3 linked regions of the Tribolium castaneum genome follow. Each later gene encodes a partner of the first gene's protein in a complex. Links are inferred from orthologs where the notes say so. Each region holds a gene or a part of one and is shown in the gene's direction. Other genes may lie near its edges.

What was found.
Region 2: car (region 1) and Vps8 share a complex: the UniProt entries of both Drosophila melanogaster proteins name them as parts of the class C core vacuole/endosome tethering (CORVET) complex. The link is inferred for Tribolium castaneum from reciprocal best matches to the Drosophila melanogaster genes car and Vps8.
Region 3: car (region 1) and Vps39 share a complex: the UniProt entries of both Drosophila melanogaster proteins name them as parts of the homotypic fusion and vacuole protein sorting (HOPS) complex. The link is inferred for Tribolium castaneum from reciprocal best matches to the Drosophila melanogaster genes car and Vps39.

Annotation. Positions count from the first base shown.
Region 1 is NC_087401.1:11,291,011-11,295,243, reverse strand, and holds the start of car (vacuolar protein sorting-associated protein 33A), read left to right. Parts: upstream 1-1,402; 5' UTR 1,403-1,607; coding exon 1,608-2,095; intron 2,096-2,142; coding exon 2,143-2,959; intron 2,960-4,186; coding exon 4,187-4,233. UniProt on the Drosophila melanogaster protein: Core component of the class C core vacuole/endosome tethering (CORVET) and the homotypic fusion and vacuole protein sorting (HOPS) tethering complexes involved in endo-lysosomal vesicle trafficking and lysosome biogenesis.
Region 2 is NC_087394.1:22,505,427-22,509,078, reverse strand, and holds part of Vps8 (vacuolar protein sorting-associated protein 8 homolog), read left to right. Parts: intron 1-980; coding exon 981-1,299; intron 1,300-1,344; coding exon 1,345-2,066; intron 2,067-3,652. UniProt on the Drosophila melanogaster protein: Part of the class C core vacuole/endosome tethering (CORVET) complex involved in endo-lysosomal vesicle trafficking and lysosome biogenesis by facilitating docking and fusion of endosomal vesicles.
Region 3 is NC_087402.1:12,355,343-12,359,719, reverse strand, and holds the start of Vps39 (vam6/Vps39-like protein), read left to right. Parts: upstream 1-1,543; 5' UTR 1,544-1,642; exon of another isoform or gene 1,643-1,686; intron 1,687-1,751; exon of another isoform or gene 1,752-1,756; 5' UTR 1,757-1,790; coding exon 1,791-1,860; intron 1,861-1,912; coding exon 1,913-2,083; intron 2,084-2,146; coding exon 2,147-2,451; intron 2,452-4,377. Other genes in the region: RpL39 (ribosomal protein L39), read right to left, coding at 1,299-1,402, 1,510-1,512. UniProt on the Drosophila melanogaster protein: Part of the homotypic fusion and vacuole protein sorting (HOPS) tethering complex involved in endo-lysosomal vesicle trafficking and lysosome biogenesis.

The DNA of each region.
Region 1 (4,233 bases):
GACATTTGGACGCACCAAGTTTAAATTCTTGCGACGAAATGCCGCAAAAAAAAGCAAGTTGTGTTGAAATAATTGTATTGTGAAAGTTATCTGATATTCTACAATCAAACTTTGAGAAAGAAGTCGGTTTAAAACCTTAATTCTAATTAATTGTGGTCAAGGTGTATTGTTGGTTGTATAACATCCTATTCAGATTACAAGAACCGCACATTTTTAAATTCTGACCTTTAGAAAAAAGTGTCGATATTATTTAATTACCAGAGATGCATTTAACATTTAAGGGGGAGAATTTCTCGATTTCCAAGATAAGTGTCCACAAGTCATTTGACGTCACATACTGAAGAAATTTATTACTCATAAGGTGGAAATTTAATTCTTAAATGTGGAAAACGCTTTAGTACGTTTTCTACCCAAAAATAAAAAATCCCAATGCATGTTCTGACTTGAGACCCATTAGCATATAACCAGTTTTATCAAACATTTAAGAAAAAGTTACAAACATTTAAGAAAAAGTTACTAATAAACAATCAGGTTATCAAAAAATAAATAAATACTGTTACAGTATAGGAAAAATTCTTAATGATTGCTTTGGAGCTTTGGATAAAAGTGAAGCAACAATTGTGCCACTGTTGAATTTTTCTAAAGCCTTCGGCGCCTCGGATCACTCACTTTTATGTGCAAAATTATCTTTTTACGGTTTCGACAAAATTTCATTTTTTCTTCATTCATATATGACAAATAGAAAACAAATTGTTACAATAGGCACCGCACAATCAAGAAGGTAAGAATGAAAGAAAGAAAGAAATAAAGAAAGAAAGAAGAAACAAGTAAGAAGAAAGAGGAAAGAAGAAAAAAGAAAGAACGAAAGAAAGAATTTAGGTTTTTTACTATTATGTATAATGTAATTTAAATAAAATCAGATTAATTAGATTAATTAAATTAATGACGCTTTTATAAACCAGTTATATACTTAGGGCCGGTTTATATGTAGAAAGCTTTGTTAAAATTTAATTCGTTGTTAAAAGTTAACAAAACGAATGGACCAACCAAATTTGTTCAATTTGGTCAGGTGATCAGTTATCCTTAATCACGCATTTAATTGCAGATTAACTTAATGACGCTTCTATTAACCGATACTTAACATACACGGTGGAGCAAAAGTAATTATCATGGTTTATTTGTGCCAGTTTGGCTGATTATGTCTTTGATTTATAAATAAGCCCCCGTAGAGGCTTCCAAAAATTGCCGTAGCGCACGGTATTTCACGTGCACATGGCGGGGTATTGGTTAAAGTTTTCAACTAGCAATAATCGCACCTCGGATTTACCTCATCGGTTACGATACTGCCACTGCGCAAAGCTGACAAACTTACCCCCTACCAATTCATTTAAAGCCACGAGGACGGCAAACGTTCATGAATCATAAACCTTAGCGCCATCTCGCACCACTCCTTCGAACATTGCAAAATAAAACAACCCCAAAGGCCCACAATCACCCAAATCCCCAATTTTGTCATCGCCCCAAAATTGTAAATCACCCCATTGTCACCACATGTCACAGTGACAGCTAACCTCAAACAACTGTCACAGTGACAGCTAACCTCGAAAATGTCATCTCATTTACAAGGGGGCCGCGTTGACATATCCCTCATCCAAACGGCGGCCCGTAACAACCTCATCACCCTCCTGGAGAAATGCCCAGGCCCCAAAGCCATCGTTTGGGACAACTCGCTTGCGGGCCCCGTGGGACTCATCGCCCAATACGCAGTCTTGAAGGAACATTCGGTCACTAAAATGTTCCCCCTGCGCCCCACACCACTCCCAGAAACAGACGTAGCCCACGTTATCTTCATAACGCGCCCCAAACTGCACCTAATGGACTTTGTGGGCTACAACGTCCACGCCGACTGCAAGACCAAAACCGGCTCCAAAAAGCAATACCACGTGTTTTTCGTCCCGAAAAAGAGCCTCCTGTGTCTGGAGCGCCTCAAGCATAACGGAGTGTACGGCAGTGTGAGTTTAGTTGAAGAGTTCCGCTGTGAGTTATTCCCGTTTGACTCCGATGTTGTCTCGATGGAAATTTCTGAAGTTTTCCGGTAAGTCCACACGTGGGTGAATATGGGGGCTCACTGTCTTTCCGCAGCGAGTACACGCTTGAAAACGACCCGACTTATTTGTACCAAACGGCACAGGCGATCATTTTTTTGCAAAAATTGTACGGCCCCATTCCGCGCGTGTGGGGCAAAGGCCCGGCCGCGCGCCAGGTGTGGGAGCTGGTGACGCGGCTCCAGCGCGAGAAGAACGCCCCCTTGAAGACGAATCAGACGTCCACCATCGACCAGATCCTGCTGATTGACCGCGGGGTGGACCTGATAACCCCCTTGGCCACGCAACTGACCTACGAGGGGCTCATTGACGAGATTTTCGGCATAAATAACTCGACTGCCCAGTTCCCCATTGACAATTTCTTGAGCAGCGAAGAGCGCACCTCTGAGTCGCTCTCCGAAGACAAGAAACAAATCATCTTGAATTCAGCCGACAAGTTATTTGCCGACATCCGCGATAAGAATTTTAACGCCGTGGGGGCGTTTTTGTCGAAGCAGGCGAAGGCGATCAGTGTGCAGTTGGATAATAGTCAGGAGCGGTCCGTGCAAGAGATGAAGTTATATGTGCAGAAGCTGCCGCAGATTTTGGCCAAGAAGAAGGCTTTGGCGCATCACACGGCCATTGCGGAGTGCATTAAAGAAGTGACTGATGGTTACGAATTTTTGGACACGCTACAAACGGAACAGGAGTTTTTGAATTGCATTGAAGTGGATAAAGCTAGTCCGTATATCGAGGATTTGATCGCACATGCCAAGCCTCTGGTCAAGGTTTTGAGACTGATTTGTTTGCAGTGTATTACCAGCTCGGGGCTCAAGCCCAAAGTGCTGGAGCATTACAAGAGGGAGCTGGTTCAGGTGGGTTTTACAAGTAGGTCATGGTTTATTGAGGGTTGCCAACTTAATTTCAAAATCACAAACCACTTCGATTAATTTTTTTTTAATTTTAACCGGTGTTATACAAAAATTTCAGCCAATATCATCAAAACTACGGATTTTGTAACAAAAATGAGCTCAGATTTGAAATGCTAAGACAATTTTACATCAGATATGTATATTTTTGACCTAATTTTTTGATTATTGTGCACTTCATGATTTTTTAAATGCAGATAAGTAGATAAAAATTTGCCCAAGTTGTTTATTTGAATTATTTGCATAATTTTGACTCGATTGCCGCAAAATTTTGCTCGAAAATAGATAACTAACTAACAAGGTCAATTTATAATTTTTTTTTTCATTTTTGCTAGAATAAAAAAAATTAAATCGACCATATTTTGATATCTCCAAAATTACGAATCTTATAACAAAAGTGAGGACAGATTTGGAATCCTCAAACAATTCTACGTGAAATAGCCATTCTTTTGACTTAAACTTTTGATTATTCTGGTCTTGATGATTTTTTATTAGCAGATAAGCAAATAATCCAGTCATAGCTGGCCATCCGTCAAACTGACACTTCTTATGTCACTCTTTTACAAAGTGTTGCCAACCTAATTTGGATTCCACAAGCCTCTTTACACAAATTAATAAAATTAAATATCTTGTAACAAAAGTGAGGACAGATTTGGAATCCTCAGATAATTTCCCGTCAAAGTGCCATACTTTTAACTTAAACTTTTGATTTTTGTGGTCTCGATGATTTTTTATTACCAGATAAGTAGATAAAAATTTGCCCAAGTTGTTTATGTAAATTATTTGCATACTTTTGACTCGATTGCCTCAAAATTTTGCTCAAAATTAGATAACTAACAAGGTCAATTTATATTTGATTTTTTTTCATTTTTGCTAGAATAAAAAAAAATTAAATCCACCATATTTTGATAATATCTCCTAAATTATGAATTTTATAACAAAAGTGAGGACAGATTTGGAATCCTTTGACAATTCTACGTGAAATAGCCATACTTTTTGATTATTCTGGTCTTGATGATTTTTTATTGGCAGATAATCAGATAATCCAATCATAGCTGGCGATACGTCAAACTGACACTTCTTATGTCACTCTTTAACAAAGTGTTGCCAACCTAATTTGGATTCCACAAGCCTCTACACAAATTAAAGAAAAAAAAATGTGAAACTTTCCAGGTGTATGGCTTACAAGCGCTCCTCGCCATCACAAACCTGGAAAAAGT
Region 2 (3,652 bases), on another chromosome or scaffold:
ATGGTGGCGCATGGGCGTTTTGAGAATTTTTCAAAATTGTGGCTAACATGTTCATTTGTGTGGGAAGTTCGAATCCTGGTCCTGACAAAAAGAATTTTTTTTTCGTAAAATTTAATAATAAAACACAAATTGAAATAAAGAATAACGTAATGGTCCAAGAAATTAATTTACTTCTGCTGTTCTGTCATTAATATTAGAATTTACGCTAATTTTTATAATGCTAGTTCAGCGGTTCTCAAAATTTGGGACATTAACTTCGGAACGATTTTTTGGGGAAGCTATGCATTTTGATTTACATAAATTTTGCTTAATCGATTTGTCTATGCCCTAACACGCTGTATTTTTGTCAACGGTGCGAATATGGTTGAAAATACAAAAAAAGAGAAAGGAGTAAAATTGAAGGAAATTTAATTTTATATAAAAAAATTGCAACACCATATTTCTATATACTATATTCCATATCTATCTTCTTTCTATACTCGACCACAGGAAAAATGAAACGAATCCCCCACTACAGCGTTTTTGAACGTCTTTGGGGCCTAAACGGTTGAAGATAGAGATGTGGTCTCGCACACTTTTTTGTAGGAAATTTAATTCTCTACAACTTTCTTCCTAATATTTTTCTTGCATCTGAAACCGTTTTCGCAGCGTTTTGAAAAATTTGAAATTTTGTAAATTTGGTTTAAAATTATAATTTGTGCATTTTATGTTTATTTCTTACTATTGAGAATTGAATGCTCTATATGTCTGTATTTTTCATTCGCCTTGTGCTAACCGTTATTTAATTACAACTATTTTTATAAATCTGAAAACTGACGGTAATGGAACTAGTGCGCCTCTGGCGACATTAACGGAACTATCGATTACGGGGACGTTTTATTGGTTGGCCGTTTTATGTCCTAAGTTTTATATATCCCTAGACTTCTTTATCCCTAAAGACACTTCTTTAAATGTTTTAATTCTAACTAAAAAAATTCTAGATATGAACGGGGCTTTATTTCAATGGTGGACGCAACCAGTGGCGACATAATTAGAAAATTACCCGACGCCCATGCCCCCCAGACCGCCGTCTTGCACTTGCGATTCACCTTTTTGAATAATTTGGCGCTTTGTGGCGACTCTTCAGGTTGCGTTTTTTCCCTTTCGTTTAATCGCCGTTTAGGAGTACGCAGTTGGGACTCAAAGTGTCTTTTTTCGGGCGCTCGTGGCGAAGTTTGTGTCTTTGAACCGTTGGTCCAAGGCCACGATATTCATTTTTTAAGCCACCATATCCTTGTTGCCATGGCTACATTATCCAAGGTACAAACCAAAACTGTCCTCAGAAATGTACAAGTATGATTCCAGGTCATAGTGATATCAATTCGGCCCCGGCTGAAAGTCCTGTTCAGTCAGCCGCTACCGAGAGTTTCAACCTCTCTGCCGTTGATTTCGTGGCAGTTGGTGTCGGTGGGACGAACGTTTCAGCCCGTGCTCGCATGGGGGCGCTGCAACGAACTGAACTACACCCGAGTTGTATTCCATAGTACGAATAACAATCGACTGAGGCTTCTCCCCTTGCGCAACGTTCAGCTGAACTATACTCTGACTGCCATGCATTGGTTGGGGACGCGCCACTTGGCGTTACTTGACACCAGTGAGAATTTGAGGCTGGTGGAGGTGCGGACGCAGCGCGAGTTGGAAGTTTTGGAGTTGGCCAGTGCTGGACTGGTGTATAGTTCGGCGCATTTTAAAGCCCTGGCTGTGGGAGGGGGCGTCAGTGAGGCGTTTGCACTGGCAGGGGAGAGGGCCTGTTACAACAGTTTATCTAGTCGAGGGGATCAATTACTAGTTTTGGGTACAAAAGCTGTGCATTTAATTAAATTAAGGACGTGGCCGGAACGACTTTTGTATCTCAGTGAGCAGGGGAGGTGGGCTGAGGCGCTCAATTTGGCCGCTGAAGAGGGAATGAATCGGGAAATTTTCACCTCAAGTCTTCTAAAAAAGTATTTGGAAAATCTCAACCAAAACACGGTGGATAAGGACAGCTTAACGGCGGCGGTAAATTGTTGCGTCAAGTTGAATAAAACGTAAGTTTGCATGAATGTATCAGTTTCCTTGATCAGTGAAGGAGGTTTTTCTTCAATTAAGTCGCATTCCATGTCTTTTTTTATTTCCAAGAGGACAACAATTCAGTTATGTGCTGTCATTGTTTAAATTTTTTAAACAAAAAGCCACTAATTAAATTGGTTCCTAAGTTACAAGAGAAGAATTTTAGAAAAAAATAGATGGCGCCACATTGAAGTAAGCTCGCTAACTATTCGCTTTTCAAGACCTTGGCGCCTCTGGTGAATGGTGTTAACATTCTTCTAAACATTTAATGAAACAGTTGCATAAATTGAATATTATAATATTAGAATTGAACACTACAGTCTTAACTTTAATCACAAAAATTAATCGATTACATAGTTGTGTCATTTATATTTGTGTCATTTCGAAATTTTAGGGTGTTAGGCAGATTGCCTTCGCTTGTACGGTAAAAGTATCATCTGCCGATGGCTGTAGTTTCTTCTAATAGTTTGTTTAAGGTAAACTAGATCAATTCAAAAATGCTTCTTACATTCTGAAGTGTTCCCAGTTGAAGATTTTAACATATTATTGTATTTGTATTTCTATCTCAACATGAATTTTTAAAATTAAAATTTTTAATTCAATGAAGTGAAAAAATATGTTTTAATACCACACACACTGAAATCTGTTCTTTCGGCTACTAGTTAAGTAAGAAAACAAAAGGTTGTCAAAATGAATTTTTTTAATAATTTACATTTTAGTTAGGATATTTATTTTGAAGTGATTTTACTATCATTCGCATTCATCACTTAAAATACCGCTAGTTCATCCAGTAAAACTCCAGCTCTTCCTTTAAGTTCTTTTATCAATTGCATTGTTTTTGGTCGTATTCCAACAAATTCACTCTTCTTTAGTTCTTCATGTCTTTCCTTTTAGCTTTTTTATGTATTTAGCTTATTTCTGCTTTCCTTTGGAAATCTCCCTCTTCATAATATTTGGTCTATTATTTTTGTAATAATTGTTAATCAGTGTCTCTTCTCCACTTTGTTCTCATCTCCAACAGCATTCTTAAAGTCATCCTGTTTAAATCCTATCAATTCATTTCTTTTTGTCTTTTTGTTTTCTTCTATCTACAGAGACCTGTTTTTTAATTCCTCAATTATTACTTGATTACTTACTTCTTCTACCTTTGTTTTTTTGTTTTCTTCCGATGATAATTCCACGAAATAATTTCTTTTTTTTTGGCCTGTCCCTTTTCTTCTTTTTGTCTCTGTTGTTAAACTTCTTTGGTACAGATCTCAGATAATTAAAAAATATAATTTTAACAACGAATACGTACCCCTCTACAAATAACAATAGTATTTTACTGATCCACCTCAAAAAATATTAAAACTACAGCTTTATCCGATTATTATGAAACTTTGCATGTCAGAGAACGAAAAGACACTCTTTGATATATGTTTTTTGAGGTGAGTCAGTAAAGGTGCCAGTTCTAACTTAACCTTTAAAAAAAATGTTGAGAAAAATATAAAAATCTGACATTTTCATGCTATGACATTTTCCATTTTTATTGCATCCAACTGTATCATTAGACATAATATTGCTC
Region 3 (4,377 bases), on another chromosome or scaffold:
TTATTGTTTTTCCACGTCACGAAGCCGTGTTGATGGAGACCATAACTATATCTCATTTCAGTTCATAGTAGAATTTTGCATTTGAATTTCTTAGAGTGAAATGGAGCACAAATTGAGAGTTTCTGGTGGCTTTTCTCAGCTCAAAACGTGGCGCTGTGTATTAGTTTAACACACATTTCTTTTTTTTACAGAAACTCAATTTGTGCTTTATTTTTCAAAATCCAATTTTCATAAAAAAACATGAAAATTTATCCCAAATCAAGTCAAACTAGTGTTTTTTATCGTTTTTGAGCGTATACTTTGATTTAGTATAAACTAAAAATTGTTTTTTTTTCGAAAAATTTCCCTTAAGGCGCCCCGAGAACTGTCAAAATGATGTGTTCATACTTTTATACATATCTTAAAAAATAGATTACGGAGTAGTAACATACCAATGATTAGAAATCGATTCCCCACAAAACTACACATTTTTATTTAGCATTGAATCAGTTTTTTGGTCTGTTGATCTGAGACTTGGGTGCCAAACGCAAGATACTGCACAGAACGGAAATCGAAATCGGAAATTGAAACAGATACTAGCAATAGCAAGGAAAAAACAACCTTAGAAAAATTTCTTTGAGAATATTTTTTTAAATTATCACTTTCAAAATTTATTTGTCAGTTGGAGGCGCCACAATGGTTTCTGGTTGAAAATTGTTGTCGATTTTGATATATGTATAAAAGTAAAAAAAGTGTAAAAACACTATTTTTTTTGGTTTGGCAGTTTGATTTTGACAGTTCTCGGGGACCGCCTTAACGCTAAAACACACTGAAAGACCGAAAATTACATTTTCAGTTTTTTCGGGGCAAAGCCCCTCGCGAAATAATCTTGGTGCTCGGTCAATAGAAATAATCTTCGCCACCTTGATGTAAAAGATACTATTAAGGTGCAAGAATATTTTTTTTTGTAGTTATCTCGAGAAATTTCGTCAAAAATTGTTTTATATTTTATATTATTAAATAAATTCAAACAGAGAAGCAATTTATTATCTAGAAAAAAATTGATTATAATAAGCCCAAAAATAACACAACTTTATTTCAAAGCTCTTAAATTTAGTAAACGTCTCTATTTAAATTTTTGGTATGTTACTGCCAATGTTTGGACAACAAAAACAAAATAAAATAACTAAATATTCAGGTTTAGTAACACATTTGAGTGCCTATGTAACCTCAAATTTGAAATGACAAATTTCGATACAAAGTTAAACAAAATGTTGCGTTTTTGTAACACGGTTTTAAAGAAATAAAAAAATACTCACCTGATGGTATTTCCTGTCCTCATACGGACCCATTGGGGAATGGGTCTGTTTTGTTTAAGCTTTTTGGCAAGCTTTCGCTTGATTATGAATGTTTTGTGAGCAGACTGAAAAATACAAACAAATAATCAATTCATGTGATTCCAGAAGTTGATATGAAATAAATTAAGTAGGAAATATAAACGGATGAAATAAATATAATTGAAAGACTTACCATCGCTCCTTTCGACTTGACAGTTGACAAGAAAGGAATTACTGAATCAATTGGTAGCAATGGCTTCGTTTGGGGGAAAAGGTCTCACCAACGTAATTAAAAAAAACACAAATCGGCTTAAACAAATAAAAAAGTACGTAATCGTGCTAACGTTGTTCCAAAAGAAGTCTTACAAGTGTAAATAACAAGACATTTTTTTTTATTTTGACGATAATATTAAATAATTTAATTTTGATTTTGAGGTTAGGTTTCTGTCACTTTGACAATATGAAAACAACAAAATGCATGAAGCATATCAAGTTCATTCTCTCCTAAAATTGACTTCGCAAATTGAAGCAATCACAGCTTACGGTCCGTATCATATTTTCCCCATAATTTATTTTTTAATTATTATTTATTGCAGATGAAAATCTCTTGGTTGGCACCCGACAGGGTCATTTATTTATGTATAGTTTGGTGCAAAACGACGAAAAATGCGAAGTCCAATTAATGAGATACAATAAATCGTTTAGTAAAAAGGCAGTTCAACAACTGGAGGTAATCCCCGATTATCATTTACTGATAAGTCTCACTGGTAAGAGTGCTATGAAAATGAATGTCACTCATTTGTCAAATTTATTTTTTGTATAATTTTTAGATAATTTAATACAATTACACGACATTAATGCAATTAATTTTACGACCGTTCATCAGGTGTTGAAATCTAAAGGGGCCACAATTTTTGCGGTCAATATTCAGAAACAGACGTCTTTAACAGGGGTTACTAGTACTTTGGTTAGGTTGGCTGTGGCTGTGAAAAGAAAGCTTCAGTTGTATTATCTTAAAAATAATGAATTTTTTCAACTTATGGAAGATATTACGTTGGCTGAGGTGCCAAAATCGATGGTTTGGTGTGAGGAGACTATCTGTGTGGGCTACAGGGGGGAATACGCCCTGATTGAGGTAGTTATGTGCTTTATTCTAGAGTGCTGTGAAAATTTTGTGACAAATTTTGACACTTCATTATCATGGCAGTTTTGATCACATTTTTATGTCTATTTTGTGCAGTGTTTTACCAGATTAAAAATACAATTTGCTGAATTTACAAATATTACCACCAGATTTTTAACAGATTAATTTAAATAATTTTTGCCGTATTTTTGACGTAGGTTTGTTCAAAAATGAGCTAACTTGATCGAAATAAATCGAGTTTTTTTTTAACGAGTTTTAGCGAAATTTGTCGAAAAGAGCTTAATTTTTTGTTCAAACTATTAAACACAAATAAAATTGAATTAAAAATTTAATTCAAAACGTCGTACATCTTTACATTAAGATTGGGTTAGGAATACAGATTGTTTTAATTAACAAAAAGTATGTTTTTAAGTAACTAGTTGCTGCAAAAATACAAAGAGGTTTTATTAGCACATTGTATTTTAGCATATTTACAACAGTTTTTTTTATCTAAAACTCTCTTAATTTAAAAATTATTCGGTTTATTTGAATGAAATTACGCAAATAATACTTAAAATATTAATTCAAATGTTTCAAACACATAGTGAAATGCTTTTAAAAAATTAAAGTGGCACAATTTTTAACGAAATTTCGTCTCTTTTAGTTAACTTACGAATCAAGACCTAGTGAAACGGACAATATCATATCAATTTCGACTTGATGATTGTGTGATTTTTGGGCTTGTTTTTACCAGGTTTTGCAAAATAATAAAATAATAATTGTCAGAAACAAGCTCTAATTATTACTATTATAAACAGCAATATTTTCGACCAAATCTCGTCTCGTTTACCAAATCTCGTTTACCAAAAGGGTAAAACTTTTGGAGGAAATGTTTAAAATCAAGCAAAACAAGATGAAGAGACATTAAGTAATCTTATTCTAACTTATCCGAAAGAACAGTATATGCATCAATTTGGATAAAAACTATTCATTTAAGCCGTTTTCAATTTGTTTTATGAGTTGTTTTGTCAATTTTAACGAAATTAAAAAAAATCTACATTTTTTGAAGAAAGCATAAATAATAAGATTTTGTCTCAGAAAAAAATGAAAATTTTCGCTTGAGAAAGTTTAAAATAACAAAATGTTTTTTCAATTATTTTTGACAAAATGAGTTAGATAGAGCCAACCGGAAGTCCTACACACAAATACATTTTTTCGCTCTGGATGACAGTTTGTTCAGGCTACTTTAGGTTTAACACTAACAGTTCTAAACTTACCATATTACTTTATGTCTCTTAATAAGTGAATTTTACAGTAATAGTATAATTAATAAAATAAAACAGTTTACCGCAAAATATACTGGTTATATCATGTGTTCCTAGATTTACTATAAATTTGAACAGTTTACTTAATTTGCTCAAAGTAGTGTAACAAACGTCAAAGATCTAAAATGAATATGCAATTTTTTGTGTTTCAATTTCACAGTCTTTTAGAGGTTATCTATACTTTTAGTTACGTAGTAAATCACTCAAAAATGAGGAAGTAATGTAATTTGTTGGTTTTATTTTAGTTTTTATTTTGGTAATTTTTTCCCATTTTCCACACATTTTCCACCAAATAAATCTTGTTGATTTTTTGCTCAAAATTGAGCAAAATTCGGCGAAATAAGTTCAAGTTTGGTATTTTTTCAACCAGTTTTAGTGAAATTTGTCGAAAAAAGCTTTTTTACCTCATTAAATTAGATTCAACATATAAATAACAATTTTGGTGTGAAATTGTCAATTTTCAACTTGTTTTTTACGGAATTTTGCGAGAGTGGTCGAAAAATGCAAAGACTAATTGAATGTATTTACTATCTCCACATAGAATCTTCCAAAATCTCTAGTTTAAAAATGAACTAAATCGAGCTAAATTAAGTAAAGAAACATCAATATTGTT